Pelodiscus sinensis: one gene and its partner. The protein of the gene in region 2 purifies or fractionates together with the protein of the main gene of each other region. This does not show direct contact. Links are inferred from orthologs where the notes say so. Each region holds a gene or a part of one and is shown on either strand. Other genes may lie near its edges.

The links. The genes of interacting proteins can lie anywhere in the genome.
Region 1: the proteins of STK3 (region 2) and MAP1B purify together in Homo sapiens (affinity purification with mass spectrometry; 4 studies listed by BioGRID and IntAct, with this or other methods). This does not show direct contact. The link is inferred for Pelodiscus sinensis from reciprocal best matches to the Homo sapiens genes STK3 and MAP1B.

What each region holds. Positions count from the first base shown.
Region 1 is NC_134716.1:82,108,082-82,118,324, reverse strand, and holds the start of MAP1B (microtubule-associated protein 1B), read right to left. Parts: upstream 5,223-10,243; 5' UTR 4,599-5,222; coding exon 4,421-4,598; intron 1-4,420. UniProt on the Homo sapiens protein: Facilitates tyrosination of alpha-tubulin in neuronal microtubules. Phosphorylated MAP1B is required for proper microtubule dynamics and plays a role in the cytoskeletal changes that accompany neuronal differentiation and neurite extension.
Region 2 is NC_134712.1:37,213,855-37,224,048, reverse strand, and holds the start of STK3 (serine/threonine-protein kinase 3), read right to left. Parts: upstream 4,165-10,194; 5' UTR 3,949-4,164; coding exon 3,926-3,948; intron 1-3,925. UniProt on the Homo sapiens protein: Stress-activated, pro-apoptotic kinase which, following caspase-cleavage, enters the nucleus and induces chromatin condensation followed by internucleosomal DNA fragmentation.

The DNA.
Region 1 (10,243 bases), on a different chromosome or scaffold from region 2:
ATCTAGCATTATCAAGTAGCACATCAGAAAAATGTTTCTTGTAAATGTACACTGATCATAAATCACAAAGCTAAGCAATGGTGACTAAACAAATCCACAACTAGGGCAATATACAGACGAGTGGGGGGAGGTCTAGATTGGATATCAGGAAAAACTATTTCACTAGGAGAGTGATGAAGCACTGAAATCGGTTACCTAGGGAATCTCCATCCCTACAGGTTTTTAAGTCCGAGATTGACAAAGCCCTCTGGCTGGGATGATCTAGGGTTGGCCCTGCTTTGGGCAGGGGATTAGACTCGATGACCTCCTGAGGTCTCTTCCAACCCTATGATTCTATGAACAAATAATATCAAACCCTGGATGATGACAAATTGTGCTGTTTAGGGATAGACTATAAGCATTTGATAGAGCAGGGGGTGGGCAACAATTTTTGATGGGGACCACTCCAAGATTTTGGGAAGTGTCCAAGAGCTGCACTTTTCTATGGAGATGGTGCGGGATCTGGTATGGAGGTTGAGTGCAGAAGGGATCTAGGGATACAGTACTGTAGTGCAGGAGATGGTGCGGGATCTGGTATGGAGGTTGAGTGCAGAAGGGATCTAGGGATACGGTACTGTAGTGCAGGAGAGGGTGTGGGGTCTGAGAGGGAGTTTGGGTGAAGGAGGAGGTTGGAACCTGGGTAGGGGATTTGTGCTGCAGGGTCCAGGAGGGGCTATGGGTGCAGGAGAGGATTCTAGCCTGGGAGAAGGGTGTAGGAGGAAGTGCAGGGTCTGGGAGGGAGTTGTGACCTGGGGCAGGGATGCAGAAGGTTTAGGTGGTGACATAGGATAGGGAGTCAGGGTATTGGGGTGGGGTGGAGGGGTTGGGGCGCCCAAGGTAGGCTGTGGCCAGGAGGTGTTTATCTAGGTAGCTCTTATCCAGCGATACATTGGGACCTTCAGGCACACTCCCTGCCTGCTGCAGCCCCAGGTTCAAAGCAATTGGCTGTTCCATGTGGCTTTCTGTGCTGGTGCAGAAGATTTCATATGCTCCCTACCCCTAAAACAATCTCTCATCTTCTACTGGCTAGTTTCTGCCTCCAGAGAGCCTCATGAAGCAGCCAGAAACTTTGAGATGCTTCGTGCCCAAGAGTCCCAGCAGGGCAGGCCGTACGCCAGATTAAAAGGCTTAATAGATCTTGCCTGCTGTTGTGATAGATCTATTAAGGAACACAGATGTTGACACAGCAATGTTGCAAGTACATAGGGTCTGTCCTGCCATCAAATCGATGCATGGATATCCTTTTGATGCAAATAGGTAGAATATGGATTTATGCCCAGTTTGAGATTCTGCAATACAGTACTGGAACAGAGCCAGATTGCTCAGTCTGTCAATGCGAAAAATACAAGATTCAAGAAAATGCTGGAAGCTTAACATAATATGTAACTGTTTATCTTAAAGAGCATTTTCTGTACTTGAAGGTCCATGATTCAGCATTTCTGATAAACACCAAATTTCCAATAGTAGAAGGGATAACGTTAGGTATAATTGAGATGGTTTATAGAGATAAATCTGGAACTATGGGCAATTCAAAGACAAATAACTATATTGTTATACATGCAGTCAGTGGAAGTACAATGAACTGGGATCATTCCTTTTTTCTGGAATATTAGGAATACAGATGTTCCTAACCCTGGACCAATTATACAGAAGAAGATCTTGAAGCCATTTTTCACACATAAAAAGGCAATCCTAGACCACTAGTAGACTGCCATTTCAAAACAAGAAAGATACTTCAGAATTCTAAAATACAGTTGGTAAATTCAAAATGAGAATGTCTCTCTTCATAAAATTTAAAGCAAATGAATTTGTAATCATCCAGTCTGTACAAGACCAATCATTTGATGTAAATCACCAACATAATATCTTCTCTGATATCTGTTTCTCTTCAGTACTGTAAAAGAATCCACATTCTTCAGTGAGGATGTTCAAAAGACATACCAAAGAAAACTTAACAGGGATGTTGAACTCCTGAAGGCCTTGTTGAGAATGGATGGTTTTGGAATGGACTATTTTTTCCAGATAGTAGTATGCTTTCCTCAGACAAGAGGTTCATCAAGCCCATATTTGCTCCACAAATATATAGCTAAGGACTCCCCCAGTGTGTTAATCCAGAACAAAGCATCTGAACATTAGTAACAGCTCCAGTGGTTGACTTCCTAATCAGATCATCTGCCACCTGCAGGAAAAAGATGACTTCTAATCCAACATTTTGAGTAGACGGCCCACGGGGTTGCTTATAAATATCTAAAATGTTAAAAGATGCCACCTAAACTCACAAAACTTAGCAACAATGGAAACAAGACAGCAGGAATTGCATAGCAGTAGCTTCAAGAGCCTGAAGAGAATTTCTCCAGAGGAAGGATGACATCAGATGTCTTGAGGGCAGAAGACACATCCGTTTGCTCTATTAATTATTAATAATTTGATTTAAAATACAGCCAACTCAGCTTTATGTCAATCAAAACTTGGGTAAAATTAGGACAATACTATGATCAAGTGGCTCTAAATTTCAGAGCACCAGCAGTTTTCACTACAAGACAATGGCAGCTATAAAGTAAAAAGGTAATTTTACAAGGTGGTTAACGCCTTACTCAGAAAGGAGTAAAAATAAATTTGGAAGTAAAACAGATAGGGGGTGATGAAGCAACAATAGAAAAGACAATTGAAGTCCTATGGGGACTGCTGAACCACACCTACAAACCAGGAACAGTAACCAATTCACTGTTTCAAGGTCTCTGACAATGGAAATTCTGTAATCTCTACCCTCATCAGCTCAAAACAAAAAAACATGTTACCAAAACATGTAGCTTAATAAATTATGGCATCTAGTAACTAATGATTTTATTTGTATTGCATGTTAATTGTGCAGTCATAACATTTTCTAATACTGAAATCTATTTTAGAAACAATAGTCAAGGATTTATTGAGAAAAATCTCTGGTTTTCACTTTTATTTTGCTGGAATTGTGATTTTAAAAAAAATTAAAGCAAATAAACCCTTAGTCATAGCAGCAGCCTGTAGCTGGCTAATGTAAGAATTATGAAAGTGAATGTTCAGCTATTGAAATTTTAATCACTTAAATCTTTTTGTGGTTCTTCTGTAAAATCTGTATCTGTAAATATTTCAAACAAAAAAACCTCTATTGCTGAAAGTTAGAAACAATAGATGCAGCTGCTTTACTGCTCAGGGGTTCCTTGCTATTCAGAACTAGCATTCTCGAAATCCCTTTGGTTTTATTTTGTTGTGAGGAAATGCAGTTTTTAAAATATATATTTATTTTAAAAATGTATTTTTCTTGTCTATGTGAACGCCCTTTGTCCGCTATGGGCTGCCATAGGGACCGCAGTGCGGACTGCACCACGCCCACGAGCCGGTATCTCTGGGCAGACAGACTCCAGCAGCACCAAGAGGGGAATAGAGAAAGCGAAGGAGGCATTGCTGCTGCTGCTGCAGAAGACCGGAACGACCTCTGCAGAAAAAATCACTAGCACAGCGCAGTAACAATGGCGGGGGGGGGGGGGGGGGGGAGGAATCTGAGGAGTGGGAAAAACTCGAGATCAGTTGGGGTGGGGCAAAGAGGTCTGTTGTCTCACTCGTTCACCCCCTTCCTTGTGTCTCGGGCAGTGTGGGTGCAGCAAAAGCCAACTGCAGATCTTTGTGTGGGGGGAGCCGATGCGATATAGAAGGAGCCTCCTTCATCTCTGCTGCTGTTGCTGCTTTGCACATTGGCCATGAACGTCTCACGACACTGCACCTCAACTACTAGATTAACAGCAGCGTGTGCACAAAGATCCCATTCCTGCCGTCTGTCCCCCGTCCTTTATGTCTAGACATTCTCGGTGAAGAAGTGACCCCTAGGAGTCTAGATCCGAGGCAGGCGAAGGAAAGGGGTAGAAGACCCGGCCCCGCCCCAGCAGGCAGGGATCTCAGGACGGCTTTCCTTCTGCAATGGCAAAAAAGGGCCCGGGGCACTGATGACACCAAAGGTGGGGTGCCCCTCCCGCGACGAGCAAAGGGCGGTTTCTCCCCCTCTGCGCCAAACCGAGAGCCCCCTCGCCCCAGTCAGTAGGTACAGCTGCAGCCCAGCCCGCCCTCCCTCCGCGCCCCGGCAAGGCGCGGGGCAGCAGCCAAGGAGGCTGGAGCCCGCCTGGGCTGAGCTCCTGCCAACTGTTCGCGCGGCAGCCCGCAGCAGAGGCTTCTCCCCGCCGAGCCCAGGGAGCGGTCGCGTCAGAGCGGTCCCCCCTGGCGGCTCGGGGAAGGCAACCCCCTGAGTCCCGGCGCGGAGCATTTATTGCCGATAAAAGCGCCGGGGGGGGGGGGGGGGTCTCCCGAAGAGACTTGGGCGCAACCTGTGGTTGTCCCCGCGCCGGGCGCTTACCTCGCTCTATGGTGCCGATGGCCCGTCTCAGCTGCTCCTCGGTCACCAGCTCGCCCAGGACCACCAGCAGGTAGAACTTGCTGTCGAGGAAGCGGTGCGAGAGGCTGGGCGAGGGGGGCGCCGGGCTGGGGACACTACAAGACGGGTCCGGCTCCGCTTCCACCACCACGGTCGCCATCCTGCCGGCCCCTCTCCGCCTCCTCTGGCCGCTGCTCGGGATGGGGGAAGGGTTGTCTCCAGCGGTGCGTCGCGCCTCGGCGCGGAGCTGCTGCCGAGTGCTGCCGGGCTGCGGGCAGCAGGCGAGTGAAGGCGGGCGGGGAGGCGGCGGCGCTTTTATACCGAGACGGTGCAGGGCTGGGACCCGAGGAGGAGGAGGAGGGGACCCGGCACATCCCGGCGCGTTGCTGCTGCCGCTGCTCCAGCATCCACAGCTGATGTCATCTGCAGCAAATCATCCCCGGCGCTGCCTCCGGAAGCAGAAGGAATGAGGTTTGCAAACAATGCCCGAGGCTGAGCAAGGTGAGGGGGGCCTGGGGCCCAGCAAACTGGCCCCTGCCTCTGCAGAGAAGCCCTGCACCCCCGGCCTCAGCACAGCTCCAACGATAGGGAAAAGTTCAGACTGAAGCAGACCCCTCTTTCCCCCCCAGCCTCAGCTGACACGCAGCACAGAGCTTTTCCTTTCCTCTCCTCTCCAAAACTGCATGGGAGCAGCACCTTCGGATGGCACCGTAATTTGCCTGTCATAACTCCACCAAGACCCTAACCACAGAATTTGCACCCCAATCCATATGAGAACTTGAAGTTTTGCCCATTTTGAATTGGGCAGGTCCTGAAGTGCAGAGCCACAGGTCACCTTGTGGGGCTCGTGGGGATGTAGCTTTTGGTCCAGGCCCCATCTCCATTCACAAAAATAACATCCCTTTTTAAAAAGTACTGTGTCACAACAATCACAGTAGTGGTTTCCAAACTCCTGCATTGCACCATAACACTGCTGCTGAAAGAACTTGGGGAAGATTCTGTAGAATACTAAAGTGTGTTTTTAGCAGCAGGAATTCACATATTCCCTCATCTTTTTATTTTAAAACCAATTACAGTATTAAGACACCCTCAAACAAAGGCCTTTGTTAACAAACTCAGTGCTCTGTAGCTATAGAATTCAGTCCTGCAAAATGGCCCTACCATGCTGCCTTGGATAGACTACAGAAATAAACAAACACCACAGTCCCTGCATAAACAGTTTGAGCCTGAGCTCCACCAGTAACATCTGAAAGAACACATCCAGAATAGTGAGTTTAGAAAGGATGTAAATTCTTGTGCACCAATGCATAAAGATAACCTCTACCCTAGCCAGTTGAGAAGACACTTATCTTGTGGACAGGTTCTCTCATTACTTTATGCAGGGCTTAATGCACTTTCCTCTGAAAACAGCACTGGCTCCTGTCAAATACAAAAAATGTCAGCTGACTAGACCTTATTTTCATGAAGTATGTCAACTCCTATGTTCCCAAAATGTGTTTGTTTTTACTGCACATTGGCATCACTGTAATAAACATGTATTTCAGATGTTATAAATATAATAGCAATAACTTATTTGTATTACAGTAGGGCCTGGGGCCCCATCCAAGATCAGGACTCCATGTTGCTAACCACTGTATAAGCAAATAAAGGGAGTCTTTGCCTAGGTGAGTTTACTGTCCAAGTAAGCAAGAAAAAGAAACAATGAGAGAAAAGAGGCACAGGGAAGTGAGAGTTTTGTCTAAAGTTACAAAAAGCAGATCAGTGACAGAACCAAAAATAAATCCCATTTCTCCTGCCTGCCTATTCACTAAGGACCATATTGCATGTCTTGTTATAGCCATTTCATATAACCAGGTGTTTCTAAACATGAATAAACCTTCTCAAAATAAAAACAGAGAGCCTGACAAATGCTGGCTAAAATGTGATTAGAGTGTCCTCTAACCATGCATTTACATGACACCATGTTTCCTGCGTTCATATAGTTTCCTTGGTGCTATTAGCCATGTAAATTGTGTTATAAACTAGGCACAAGCATTTTGACAGCCATGTTATGTAAACCCAGAAAACTCAGTGGAAAAGAAAAACTGTACTGAACAATTCCTAGCAAGTTTCCTAAAATAGAAAAGTCTTAATGGACACAAATATGCTGCAAAAAGTGTCACTAATATGAACCATGTTCTACTAGTTGTGACTATAGTTTTCTTTTTTTCCTGCTGTTTGTAGTGTTTTTCATAGTATCCTTGCACTGGTCTATGTTGATACATACAAGTACACACAAATACATATGGATGTATTTTTTTCCCCATTTTCCCATTGCAAAACCCCATTGCACGCATACTGATTCACCAGTTCAGTTACAGACGTGCTGAGAGGGCTCTGTAATTTTGTGGAGGAATGCACAGATGCAAGCAACTTCCAAAATTCTTTCCCGTTTCCACACATGGGCTTTCTGGTATGCATACATGTGTATTATCAGCAGGATTTGACCCATAAGCTGAGGAGAGGGTGCATCTGAATAGTATTTTACTACACGTTTGCAAAATAGAATGATAATGATTCCCAGGATTTCACACATCACAATCACAGTGAGTCAAGTTCATTAATGGTATTAAATGCATTTCATCACACAAGGTGCATTACATGGGTGACTGACTAGTGTCTTCTATTTAAAAAATAAATAAACAATCACTACCACAGAAACAAACAACTCTGGAAAAATTATCTGTTGAGGTTTAGGAGATAGGGTTTACTTAAAACAAACACTACAAAACCCCATAACTATAATAAGTGTTTTGAAACACTTGAGGAAGGTGATCAGGAACAGTCAATGTGGATTCACGAAGGGCAAGTCATGCCTGACCAAACTGATTGCCTTCTATGATAAGGTAAGTGGCTCTGTGGGTATGGGGAAAGTGGTGGCTGTGATATACCTTTACTTTAACAAAGCTTTAGATATGGCCTCCCATAGTATTCTTGCTGGCAAGTTAAAGTAATATGGTCTGGATGTATAAACTGTAAGGTATAGAAAGCTGGCTAGATTGCAGGCTCAACAAGTAGAAATCAATATGCTTGATGTCTAGTTGGCAGCCTATATCAAGCGGAGTGTCCTAGGGGCATACATACATGGGGCCAGTTTTGTTCAATATCTTTATTAATTATCTGGAAAATAGGTTAGTTTGCACTCTCAGCAAGTTTGTGGATTAAACTAAGCTGGGCGGGAAGGTAGATATGCTGGAGCATAGGGACAGTGACCTAGACAAATTGGAGGATTAGGCCAAAAGAAATCTGATGTGGGTCAACAAGGGCAAGTGCAGAGTCCTACACTTAGGACGGAAGAATCTCATGCACTGCTATGGACTGGGGACCCACTGGCTAAGTGGCAGTTGTGCAGAAAAGGGCTTGGAGATTATAGCAGATGTGAAGCTGGATATGAGTCAATAGTGTGCCCTTGTTGCCAAGAAGGCTATCCACATATTAAGCTGCATAAGGAGGAACATTGTGAGCAGTTCTAGGATATGTCTACACTGCATGGCTATTTCGGGATATCTCCGGTATCCCGAAATAGCTAGCCTACATCTACACAAGCTGCCCATTATTTTGAAATATTTTTCAAAATAATGGGTGCACTATTTCACCATCCTGGTAAGCCTCCTTGTAAGAGGGATAAGGGATGGCTCAAAATAGCATGTTATTTTGAAATGTGGTGCTGTTAGACATACCAAATTTCAAATTTCAAAATAGATTCAAGATAAGAACACAATTTGCACAATTCAAATTGCGTAATCTTATTTTGAGTTTAGGGTGCTGTGTAGACATAGCCCTAGGGAAGCAATTATTCTCCTTTATTTGGCACTGGTGAGGCCACATCTGGAGTATTGCATTCAGTTCCCCCTCTCCCCACTCCTCACCCAGAAGGGATGGAACAAATTAGAGAGAGACCAGGTGAAGGCAACAAAAATTATTAGGGGGCCAGGGCACATGACTAAAGAGCAGAGGCTGAGAGAATTGTGCTCATTAGTCTTCAGAAGAGAAGAACAAGAGGCAATTTGATACCAGCCTTCAGCTATGTGAAGCAGGATTCCAAAGAGGATGGAGCTAGGTATTGTCAGTAGTGGCAGATAACAGAACAAGAAGCAACAGTCTCAAGTTGCTGGGGGAAGATATTAGGTTGGATATTAGGAAAACTATTTCACTAGGAGGGTGATGAAGCACTGGAATAGGTTACCTAGGGAGGTGCTGGAATCTCCATCCCTAGAGGTTTTTAAAGCAAGGTTGAACAAAGCACTGGTTGAAATGATTTAGTTAAGCTTTGTTTAGCTTTGACCCGGGGCTTGGACTAGATGATCTCCTAAGCTATGTATTTGATACAAGTATCCTGCTGAGGCCTATAATTCCATAGTCTTATGTTTTATATTGTGTTGCCACAGACTATATAGATATAACATTACTACAGAAAATGAAATATGACAATTTATAATGTGGTAGGAATATTAAAAACCTTAAGGGGGCTACTGTTTGTAAGACAAATATTTTGTCTTTCTAAATTCTTTGAGGACTGAGTTTGGCTCAGATGTTTTGTATTTCTTAGATAGTCACAAGCACATGGAACTGTCTGATCTAAGGTAAAATTGAGGACAGTTGCATGCTTGTTACAAATGCAGGTCTAGCTTCATGGATATGAATCTTGGAGAAGATTGCAGATCCAGTTACATGGCTGTACATACAATAACTTGCTCTGAAACTTGGGAAAGTAGTTTTTGTTAGTTTTATTTGTTTTGTGATTCAAGATGCCTTGTCTTTGTCTCATAATACTAAGCTTTTCTTACCTGAAAATAAGTTGTCTTACAAGAAAAAATAACATTTGAAAGCACATTTATGTTCTGCAGGATGGAAGCATATCATCAGCTCTTCAGTCAGATGAAATGAGAAGACGTACTGTGCAAAGCTGAATCAATGTCACATGGCCTTCAAAAAAATTTCAACTTCCCACCTGCAGGAAAATTACATAGATATACTAATATGGATAAAAAATAGCAAAATGAATTTAAACTGTACTCATAGGGTGCGTCTAGACTGGCAAGATTTTGTGCAAAAGCAGTTGCTTTTGCGCAAAAACTTGCCAACTGTCTACACTGGCCGCTTGATTTTGCGCAAGAGCACTGACGTTCTACTGTCTGAAATCAGTGCTTCTTGCGCAAAACTTTGACGCTTCCGTTCAGGAAAAAGCCCTCTTGTGGAAATGATTTTGCGCAAGAGGGTCAGTGTAGACGCGCTTTTGTGCAAAAGCACAACGTTGTTACGATAACTCCGGGACCAATCTAGATGCTCTTTTGCAGAAATACTTTTAACAGAAAAACTTTTCCGTTAAAAGTATTTTTGCAAAATCATGCCAGTCTAGAAGCAGCCATACAGATTTAGAAAGAGAGAAACCGTTATCAACTGTTGAAAAAAATATTTAAGGTTCACGTTACTTATCCATTTTGTACTTGCTAACCAAATAGCTATCATAGTATAACAAACTCAGATGATACACTTAAGGCTGCGTTTTCATCTTGGGGATCTGGTTATATTATTAATCTTTTTTTAATTAATTTACAATGTTTAGATGAATGTCAAAAGGTGCTCTATTCACTGCTTGTCTGGTGCCTCGTCTTGGTTATTCTTGGGATTAGTTCTTGAGGTCAACACCCCTTCCTGTGGTTGCACACCATCACACTGTCTGTTTCTCGTATTTACAATTCCTTTCTCATCCCAGAAACCACAGCGTCCTCTTCATGACTCAGCCCTCCAGTTAGGTCACTCAGT
Region 2 (10,194 bases):
AAATACTATTTATTTTATCTAGGAAAAATGCAGTATATAAGTTCTCAATACATTAACTTTAGATTGTGCAACTGAATCAGTATTTGACAGACTTGATGAACCCACAGTGGCTGTATTTCTAGTACATGCACTAGATAGTCAATGAAGTAGTAACAGCTCCAAAACCAAAAAGTAAACAGTGAGTAAAATCCCAAACCAAAAGCCTTAAAGTTGGTGTTAGTTTGAATATATACCAGATAAAATAAAAATGCACCTGCAAAAAAAAAAACAAAAAACCCTCAATGAGTTGTCATTAATATATCTTGTTTTAAAACACATATTTAATACCACAAAAGTTGCTGAGCTGGATTAAAACAAAGTCATCTTATTCTGTAACCCTCTCTCAAAAAGTACCCTGTAACATATGCTTCAGAGGAGTGTTTCCCCAATTTCATTTGGCCACGGAACCCTTTTAAACTCGAAATAATTTTGTGGAACCCCTAATAAGTCTTCTACGTGGAGCTGAAAAAGTAGACCACAAATAAGTAAGGATAATAATAAACAAATGCTAAACAAGGTCATGAGATCAATACAAATGAAAATTGTTTTCAATAAAATTAATAAATGCTTAAATATTTATTTTTTTAAATCATAAAATGTTATTGTAATGGAATTTTCTTGCAGAACCCTTATTTTCACTTCACAGAACTCTGGGGTTCCCCAGAACACCATTTGGGAAACAATGCTTCAGAGGAAAGATACAAGAAAGCTGGCAATCAGCAGTCAGAGGATACCCCTGCTCACTAGGAAAGTTTCCTCCTAAATCCCCCACCTTATCAATTTGTCTGGGGTTTTGCGCTGAAGCATGATAGTTCACATAGCAACATTATGTATGATAAGTTAACTCTCAAAACTGTATTGCTATTATTGATATTAAGGCCTGGTCTAAGGGCAATTTTGTACAACTATATCTACATCAGTTAAAGAAAATACAATCACCTCTAACAGAAAACAAATATACTTCTAAAGGAAGAGGTATAAAACTATACTCATCAATAAACTATAGCACAGGGATTCTGAAACTAGAGGTGTTATAGGGGACGGGGGAGGGGCACAAGCTGTCAGCTTCTATCTCCAATCCTTGTTTCACCTGCAGCATTTATAATAGTGTTAAATGTTTTCATTTACAAAGGGGTCACATTCATAGACTTGCTTTGTGAAAGGATTCGCCAATACAAAAGCTTGAGAACCCCTGCTATAATGGTATCAACACTTCATGCTACTATAACTGCATTCACACTAGGGTGGGGCTATACCCCATTAACTATCAGCAAAGGTAAGGCAATATAACTTTTGTTGTTAGATGAGGCCTTTAGTGTTTTCCTTAAAGCAACAGCTCTTGGGGTTTGTCTACACTAGCAAGTTAGTGCATCTTAACTTTCTCACTTAGGAGTGTAAAAAAAACCACCAGCATCAGCAAGTTACAGCACTGTAAAGCACCAGTGTGAATAATGCTATAGCGCTGGGAGCTGCAGCCCAAGCACTGTTAGCTACTTGCCTCATGTAGATTGTTTACCTAGAGCAGTGTTTCTCAATGAGTGGTACAAGTACCCTTAAGGGTACTCGAGAGCAGTCTGAGGGGTACATCAATACAACTGAAATTTGGAGAAAACTGATTTTGTTAAGTTTTACAGCGCTTTATTATTTTTGTACTTTTTACACCCAAAAATTTCATTGTTCACCCGGCTATGATTAAGTTGTTTAAACAAATGTGTTGCAAGGATAGAAAAAAATTGTGTGTGTCTGAAAACTGTAGGTACTGGGGGTACTTGCAATTTTTTTTTAAAAAAAGGGAGGCCTTTTTTTTTTAAAGGGATATTTAAAAAAAAAAAGTTGAGAAACACTGACAGAGTGCTCGGAGACCTCAGCAGCGCTTTAAACTTTAACATGTGTATACAAAGCTCTGGAATCAAGTTTCTCATCTTCATGGTTGTGGAGAAAAGCCTAAATACATGAACCCTAAAGGCTCAAAATTCAAAATGTATTTAAATCATTATCTGTCAGGGACCTGACAATTTATGAGCCTTTGGGGTTGTCAATTCCACAACAGTAAGGGTTTTTTGTTAAGAGTTTCTAATTTTGGATCTTCCTAATTTACTTGAATAAATCTGCTAATTATGAGATTAAGCTATTTTAACAGTGTTTTTCAAGTAAAAGCTCCATCCAAATCATTTGGATGAAGTCCATGGCTTTTATTATTGTTCTGTTACAGTCTAATAAAAATTCTGGATAATACATTAGTTGCAATTAGCTTCAGATGCTCACATTTTGTGAAAAGCTTTTCTCCAGAAGAACCATAATTAAAACGGAGAGGTGATAATATAGTCATGATTTTTCAAATTCCTGTCCTCTAAAAACAATTAAGTGTCCTTAAGCTATATTTCACTCCAAGCAGCTTTTATTCAGTATTACTGATTATTGTCTATAGCCAACAGAACATTCACATATTCTCCTGGCTTCTGCTGTGTCTTAGGGCAGGTGTATCCTACTGGGAGACTGATGCTGTGACAATCAATTCCCTAGGGATTGATTTAGCAAGTCTTCACGTAGACCTTCTAAATCTACCACTGATCAGTCTCTCTGGCCGACTTCAGTACTCCATCAGAATGAGTAGCATCAGGGAAGTTGAAAGGAGAGTTTCTCCCACTGACCCTGTGGCAACTCGACCTAAGTCCTGGCAACTCCAGCTACGGTATTCATGGGGTGGCATTGCCCTGCAATGTGTAGTGTAGATCTGCAGTTAGATGTGGGCAACTTTTTTTAAAATGAAATTTTAAAAGGTAGCAGTGAAAAAACTAGGATCTTTCAAATGTAAAAGCAATATACTTTACCAATATAATCTCTAAAAGCTGCACTGTGAAGCATGCCCAGAGCCTCACGGAAGCTAGTAGTGGTACACCCATAGCACACGATGTCAATTTCTTCCTCAGCATTAGTTTTAAAAATATAGATTTAAGTTCAGAGCCTAGACTATGTAGTCTGATCTCACAGAAGATTTATTGTCATCCTGACAGTTCTCTGTTGGGCTCAATAAAGGTTAGTCTTCACTTAGAAATTCCGCTATTCCAGAATAATATGGGTTGCTGATTTAACTTAATCCATTAGTTGAGATACATAGGGCCAAGATTTACAAAAGAAGCTAACTGAGCATTATTTATTTAGAAGGGATTGAGATAAAAATATGGAATTTCAATGTCATTTGTAGTCAGGTTCAGACTACAATTGCAATGTAAGATTGAAAGGAAGTTTGTTACAATCTCTGCCATCCCAAAATTAGTTCTATAGACAGAAGAGTGATATATTAGGATTTCCCTCCTGGATTAGTTTTAATGTTGGGTGTTTTTATGTTCTCTTCTTCCACCCTCCATCCCTCGTGAATAAACTAAGTTTGTAGAAAGCAAAGAAGAATCCCTGAGCTGGGGGAAGGCTCATTGTAGGTGTCCAGTCTACATTTCCATCCACCCCCATAGGAATTGGTGCTAAATTGTGTAAGCACATGCCAGTCTTCGCATTCACCCTAGCATTGGGTAGTGACTGTTAAGCGATTTATGGGAGAGGGGGTTACGACCAATAGTGCCACCTCAGAGGGGGAGAGCTTAGCGCCAATGTTGGAGGGAGGGTTGAACTGGCGTCTGTCCCCTCCCCCCACGGAGGGGGAGCGCCAAGGCTGAAGGGGGAGGAGGGGATCACAGGCCGGGGGGCCTAATGTCTCCTCACGTCACTCTCAGTGGGGGAGAGAAGGGGCATATCCCAGCAGTCCCGGGGGAGGGCGGCGCCGGCCGTAGCCCAGTGGTGCCTGGCGAGGCCTAGCTCCAGCTCCTGCCCCCACCCACCAGACCACGCCGCCAGCTGCGCTCAGTGCCAGAGCGAGGACGGGGCTCGATACCTTTTCGGTGCTGCAGGCTCCATGCTGCCACTGTGGGCTGGAAGCGCGCTGAGCCCAGTCCGCCGCGGCGCGATATCGCCTGACAGGCCCCCGCCGGCCCCCCCCCCCTTAACTCCACACAACTTTCCGGCAACTCTGGGGCTGGCCCTTTAAATGCGCCTCGCCTCCCTCTCGAGTCTGAGGCGGACTCTCACACAACCTATCCCAGCGCCACCTAGTCCTAGCCTGCTGGCTGCCCCAGGCCCGCCTCCTTCCTCCTTTCATTGGTTACAGGAGGCGCAAAGGCAAGCACTGATTGGAGGCTAACCAAGTCACTCGCAGCCTCACAAGGCGGAAGGAAAAGTCCCCCAGCCTGGACTGAAGCGGCTGTTGCTGCCCGGGCGAGAGCGAGCGGACTTGTGTCGGAGGGAGAACAATGGGGAGCGCAGAGCGTTCCCAGCATACTGCACGCCTCGCCGGGCCTGGCTGTAGAGCGCCGTATGCTGGGATGTGTAGTTTGCAGCGGTCCGCGGGCCCCGCCGGAGTGACCGCTCCGGGCAGCGGCATCTCACAGCCGGGAGCCCCTTACGCTTCCCCGGCGGCCAGTGCGTGTCCTGCGGGGAGCCGGGCGTGGCACAGCTCCGTTTTAAGGGATACATTAAAGCTCCCTTATCGCAAGGGGCCATTTTGACCGCCACAAAGAGTGGGGCTCCCGGAGGCGTCAGAGCCGACCCTGGCAGTGCTGGGCCCTACGCGGCTCCGCACCAGCGCACGCACCCCCACGGGGGCGGGGGCTGCCCACTCTCTGACCAAACGGACCTGATGCCATTTGCTGCGATAGTGTCCGGTCCCGTAGAGTTGGGAATCCTGGAGCGGGGCAGGGAGGGAGGCCTCCGGGCAGTAGATGGGCGACACAGTGCAGGCCCGACACGACGCCCGCCGAAGAGCAGTAGAGCTGTGAAGGGGAAACAACGCCTCTCTCCAGCCGCCGGCTGCGTGGCTACCACCTGCTCCCCCGGAGCCCTTTGGCCTGCACTTGCGCCACTCACCGCTGCCTAGTGAGTGGGGGGGTTGGTATCGACAGAGCCAGTGTTGACCCCGCAGGGCGTGTGGCGTGGGGATGGGGCCACCAAAACCAGATCAGCACAACCTGTGGCTGCTTAACATCCCATCCCTAGGTACGTGCAGCATAGGCCACCATAAAATTTGAGGCAGCAAACCTAAATTTAGTGGTACCCTAGGCAACTGCACATGCCTAAGGATGGCCAGAAAGGGTGTGTTAGTAGTTAGTTCATTGCTTCAGAGAGGGATGTTAATCTTCAGTCTTTGGCTTCCTCCAGTAGTCCAGGTACACTATTAATATCACAAAGGAAATATTTAAATCTCCCTATTTAAATTAAAGTGTAGGGCAGGTGAGACTTCTGCAGGCAATGCAAACCAGTGGATGTTAATATAAACAATTATTTGCTGGCAATCTCTGAGGATCAGTTTAACAGTCCCTGGTTTAGGCATACGGTCAGTAAACAAGACAGGAGAAACATTCAAACATTGCTTCTTGTCCTATCTACAGGAGTTAAAAACAATTTGTTTCCTACCATCTTGTAACAACTTTTTATATACCTCAAAAGTTTCAGAGGGGGTAACTGTGTTAGTCTGTAACTGACAAAAAAATAACAAATAGTCTTGCAACAACTTAGAAACTAACAAAAAATCTAGATGGTATCATGAACTTTCATGGGCACAACCCACTTCTTCAGATGCATGGAGTTAAGGGGTCCAAGTTCCAAATAAATACCAGAGAAAGAGAGGAGAGGGTACTGTGACATCCTCATTTCTTTATTGTTTTGTCATTATAGTCCTCACTTCTCTATTGTTTATCTGTATGGTCGATCTGGCTAGGTCTAGACTACAAGTATTTGTCGGAAAAAGCTACGCAAAATGCCCTCCACATTTTGCATACCTTTTTCCGATTCTTTTGTCAGAAGAGGCTTTTCCAACATTTGACCCATCTAGAATGGGCCAAATGTCAGGAAAAAAAACCTCTTTCAGAAGCTCCCTTCTTCCTCAGGGAAGGAGGAATACAGGAGCTTGCAAAAGAGCATGTTTCCACTTCCACAAAAAAAAGCGGAAATGCACACGCGTTCCCTGGACTCAGCAGCGTTTTTTTGGGATACTTCTGGTATCCTGAAAAAAACCATAGGCTGTGTCTACATTGGCACCCCTTTCCAGAAAAGGGATGCTAATGAGACCAGTCGGAATTGCAAATGCCGTGGGGGATTTAAATATCCCCTGCGGCATTTGCATGAACATGGCTGCCGCTTTTTTCCGGCTCAGGGTTTTGCCGGAGAAAAACGCAAGTCTAGACGGGATCTTGCGGAAAATAAGCCCTTTTCTGGAAAGTAGGAATAAGGGATCTTCCGGAAAAGGGCTTATTTTCTGCAAGATCCCGTCTAGACCGGCGTTTTTCTCCGGCAAAACCCCGAGCCGGAAAAAAGCGGCAACCATGTTCATGCAAATGCCGCGGGAGATATTTAAATCCCCCACGGCATTTGCAATTCCAACTGGTCTCATTAGCATCCCTTTTCCGGAAAGGGGTGCCAATATAGACACAGCCATAGTGTAGACATAGCCTCTAGTACTTTGCTTCTGTCACAGTGTAATTAACTTTGCAGGGTGTAAACCAATTAAGATGGTGGGATATAATTGGTTAGGTCATTATGTTACAATGTCAGGAATAGTTAGTTAAATTTCAGTAAAATGATTGATTTAGGGATTGCTGAGAATATTACTATATAAATTGAAGGAAAACAAGAAGTAAGTTTGAAAAAGGAAATGGGATTCATGCTTGCTGGAAGCTAACACAAATAAACATCACATTGTTTTCATCTCCAGACTTCAGGTTATTGCTATTCTTTGTTCATACAAGGATTATGGAAGTGGGAGGGTGAAGAGATAAGCCCTCCAACCATAACTATTTCTGGGAACAGTTTTCCAACCAGTTATGCACTCACCTTATAGTAGCTCCATCTAGTCTGAATTTTCCAAGTTTGTTTATGAGATAGTATCAAAAGCCTTACAAAATTCAAGATATCCCACATCTATCACTTCCTCCCTTCCCTATACACAAGACTTATTACCTTGTTAAAGAAAGTAGTTTGGATGTTTTGACACAATTTGTTCTTGATAAATAACAGTCTACACAGAAGGTGATAAATCTAGGTATTTGCAAATTAATTGCTTAATTATTTGCTCCATTATCTTTCTGTGCACTGATGTTAAGCTGACTGACTGGTCTGTAATTTCCTGAGTTGTCTTTATTCACCTTTTTATAGATCGGGCAAATACAATGCCATTTTCCAATCCTCTGGAATCTTTCCCATCTATTTGAAGATAATCACTAGTCACTCAAATATCTCCCAGTCAGATCCCTGAGAATTCTAGGATATACTAATGCTTCATTAAATATGCATATTTAACAAAATGCAAGGAAATGCAGATATCATTGCCATACACATTTATACTTACTCCTGGAGGAATTCTGTGCCAAAAAAAAATCTGCACACAATATATTAACATTTTGCAAATTTTATTTATCAATAAATAAATATGAAGGCTCCAGCATGGTAGTGGTGAGCCCAGGACACTGGCCGAATGGAGGTGGGATATCACCCTGCAAAATGCCGCCCTGAACCTTCACTCCACAGGTAGCTTTTCTGTGCAGTATTACTAGTCACTTGAATTCCCTCAGCTTACAGTTCCAGTTCTGTCATTGATTTTGCTAACGATGTCGCCCTCCCTTAACACCAACATGGAAGAAAAGGTTGCAACACTGGAAAAAACTGTCTCAATGACTGGGCTGAGCAGTCACAAGGGAAAGACCAAGACAGTGAGGAACAACGAGTCCAACACCACCACCATCACACTGGGAGGGGATAACCTGGAATATGTGGAGCAGTTCATCTACGTGGGGAGTATTATGGGCAGAGACAGAGGAACAGACAAGGATATCAATGCTAGGATGGGGAAAGCAACAGCTGCGTTCAAGACTCTTCATCCCATATGGAGTTCACAAATATCTGCTAAGATGAAACTGCGAATCTTCAACACAAATGTGAAAAGTGTGCTCTTGTATGGATGTGAGACCTGGCATATTAAAAAGTCTTAAATCACAAGCTACAGACATTCATAAACAGATGCCTGAGGTACATCCTTCACATCAAATGGCAAGATTTTGTCACAAATAAGGAGCTTTGGAACAGAGCAGGACAAGAACCTCTTGATATACAAGTCAAGAGAAGAAAGTGGGGATAGCTAGGCCACTCTCTCAGACAACCATAATCCAGCATAGTCCATCAAGCCCTCACATGGAACCTACAAGGAAGACGCAAAAGAGGAAGACCTCAGACAACATGGAGAAGATCTACTGAGATTGAAGGACAACAACTGGGGTACTCCTGGAGTCAGCTAGAAGTTTTGTCTCAAAACAGAGTGAAGTGGAAGAGACTTGTAGATGACCTATGCTCCACTTGGAATACAAGGGTTTAAGAAGAAGTGTCAGAGATCTGTTTTGAAAATGTGTGTCTTTTTCAGAGAAATCTCAAAATCTTTCAGACAGACTTAACAGGAAAGATGTTGCATTTTCCCACATTGTATGTTGTTGCTACAGATGAAACCTAAATAAAAACAATGTGGCTACGTCTACACTGGCCCCTTTTCCGGAAGGGGCATGTAAATTTCAGCAGTCGTCGTAGGGAAATCCGCGGGGGATTTAAATATCCCCCGCGGCATTTAAATAAAAATGTCCGCTGCTTTTTTCCGGCTTTTAAAAAAGCCGGAAAAGAGCATCTAGACTGGCCCCGATCCTCCGGAAAAAGTGCCCTTTTCCGGAGGCTCTTATTTGAAGTAAGAATAAGAGCCTCCGGAAAAGGGCACTTTTTCCGGAGGATCGGGGCCAGTCTAGACGCTCTTTTCCGGCTTTTTTAAAAGCCGGAAAAAAGCGGCGGACATTTTTATTTAAATGCCGCGGATTTCCCTACGACGACTGCTGAAATTTACATGCCCCTTCCGGAAAAGGGGCCAGTGTAGACGTAGCCTGTAAGAGGTCCGCAGCAATCTGATCAATTAAAATGTGATTTGAGATTTTAAAATTCCAAAGAATTTGCTTTTATTTGTTTGTGATCCCTTTGTTGTCTCTGTGAATGGGCCTTGATCTTCTGAAGCAAAGAATATTCTTGATTCATTTGCTGAAGGTGTGTTTCAATTAGAAATATTAAGGCTTGAGAGCATAGAGATAAGCGGGACTTTGTGATTTCTGGACTCAAGATGATGACCAGTGTCAGAATAGCCAAAAATCTAACTATCTTTTAATAGTGTTTGGATCAATGTACCTCCACAAATCTGTGTTTTGTACTATAAACATTATAAATATCATTCAATACCAACCCTACAATCACCTGACAGATGAGCATCTTCACCAGTGCATACTCCTTGCCCTGACCTCCTATAAACCACTCTTTACAAAGTTTGCCAGATATCATCAATGTCGCTTCTCCAATTAAAGATTGCCACAAACATAGGCAATAATTTTGTTTTATAATCTTCATTATAATATAGGAATACTAACACTTACATTGCAATCAGGGCCTTTATTTATTGGAAACTGAAGTGTGGTTGTTTTGGGGGGCTTTTTGTTTATTTTCTCATCTGCCTTTTACACAAATGGCTTGCCTCTTATCATAAAATCATAAATCAGCCTGTGGATAGATCTAGTTTAGTATCACTGCCCTAGGCTTTTTTTTTTTTTTTTTTGTCCAAATGCTTTTTCCTTTATTCACATGCCAGTACCTCCAATTTTCCCTACAGAGTTTCTAAAATTTAGCTATGTATTCTCAATGTAAATGGAAGGACAATACATTGAATTCAATGTCAAAAACAGATATAAAGAATAGTCTACAACATTATTCATTTTCATAGTCACTTGCCTAAACAGTAGTATTTTTTACCACAGCCTATTGGAGTAATTCATCCAGTCCCAGTTATGTGATCTTGGGGACCTGACTTCAGAGTACAGTAATGAGTGAGCATGCCCACTTACAGTGCTTATAGCAAGGGAGATAGAGATATGTTTTGGACTTGAAAGGGGAAAGACACAGTATTTCTGTCCACTTCCTAACTCTACCTTTCCATTAAAGGAGATCTGGAAGCATATGGTGTTGGTGACTGATATCTAGACCACATGAAGATGAAGAAGTTAATGGATAATATAAACTGGTAATCCCACAGTTTCTACC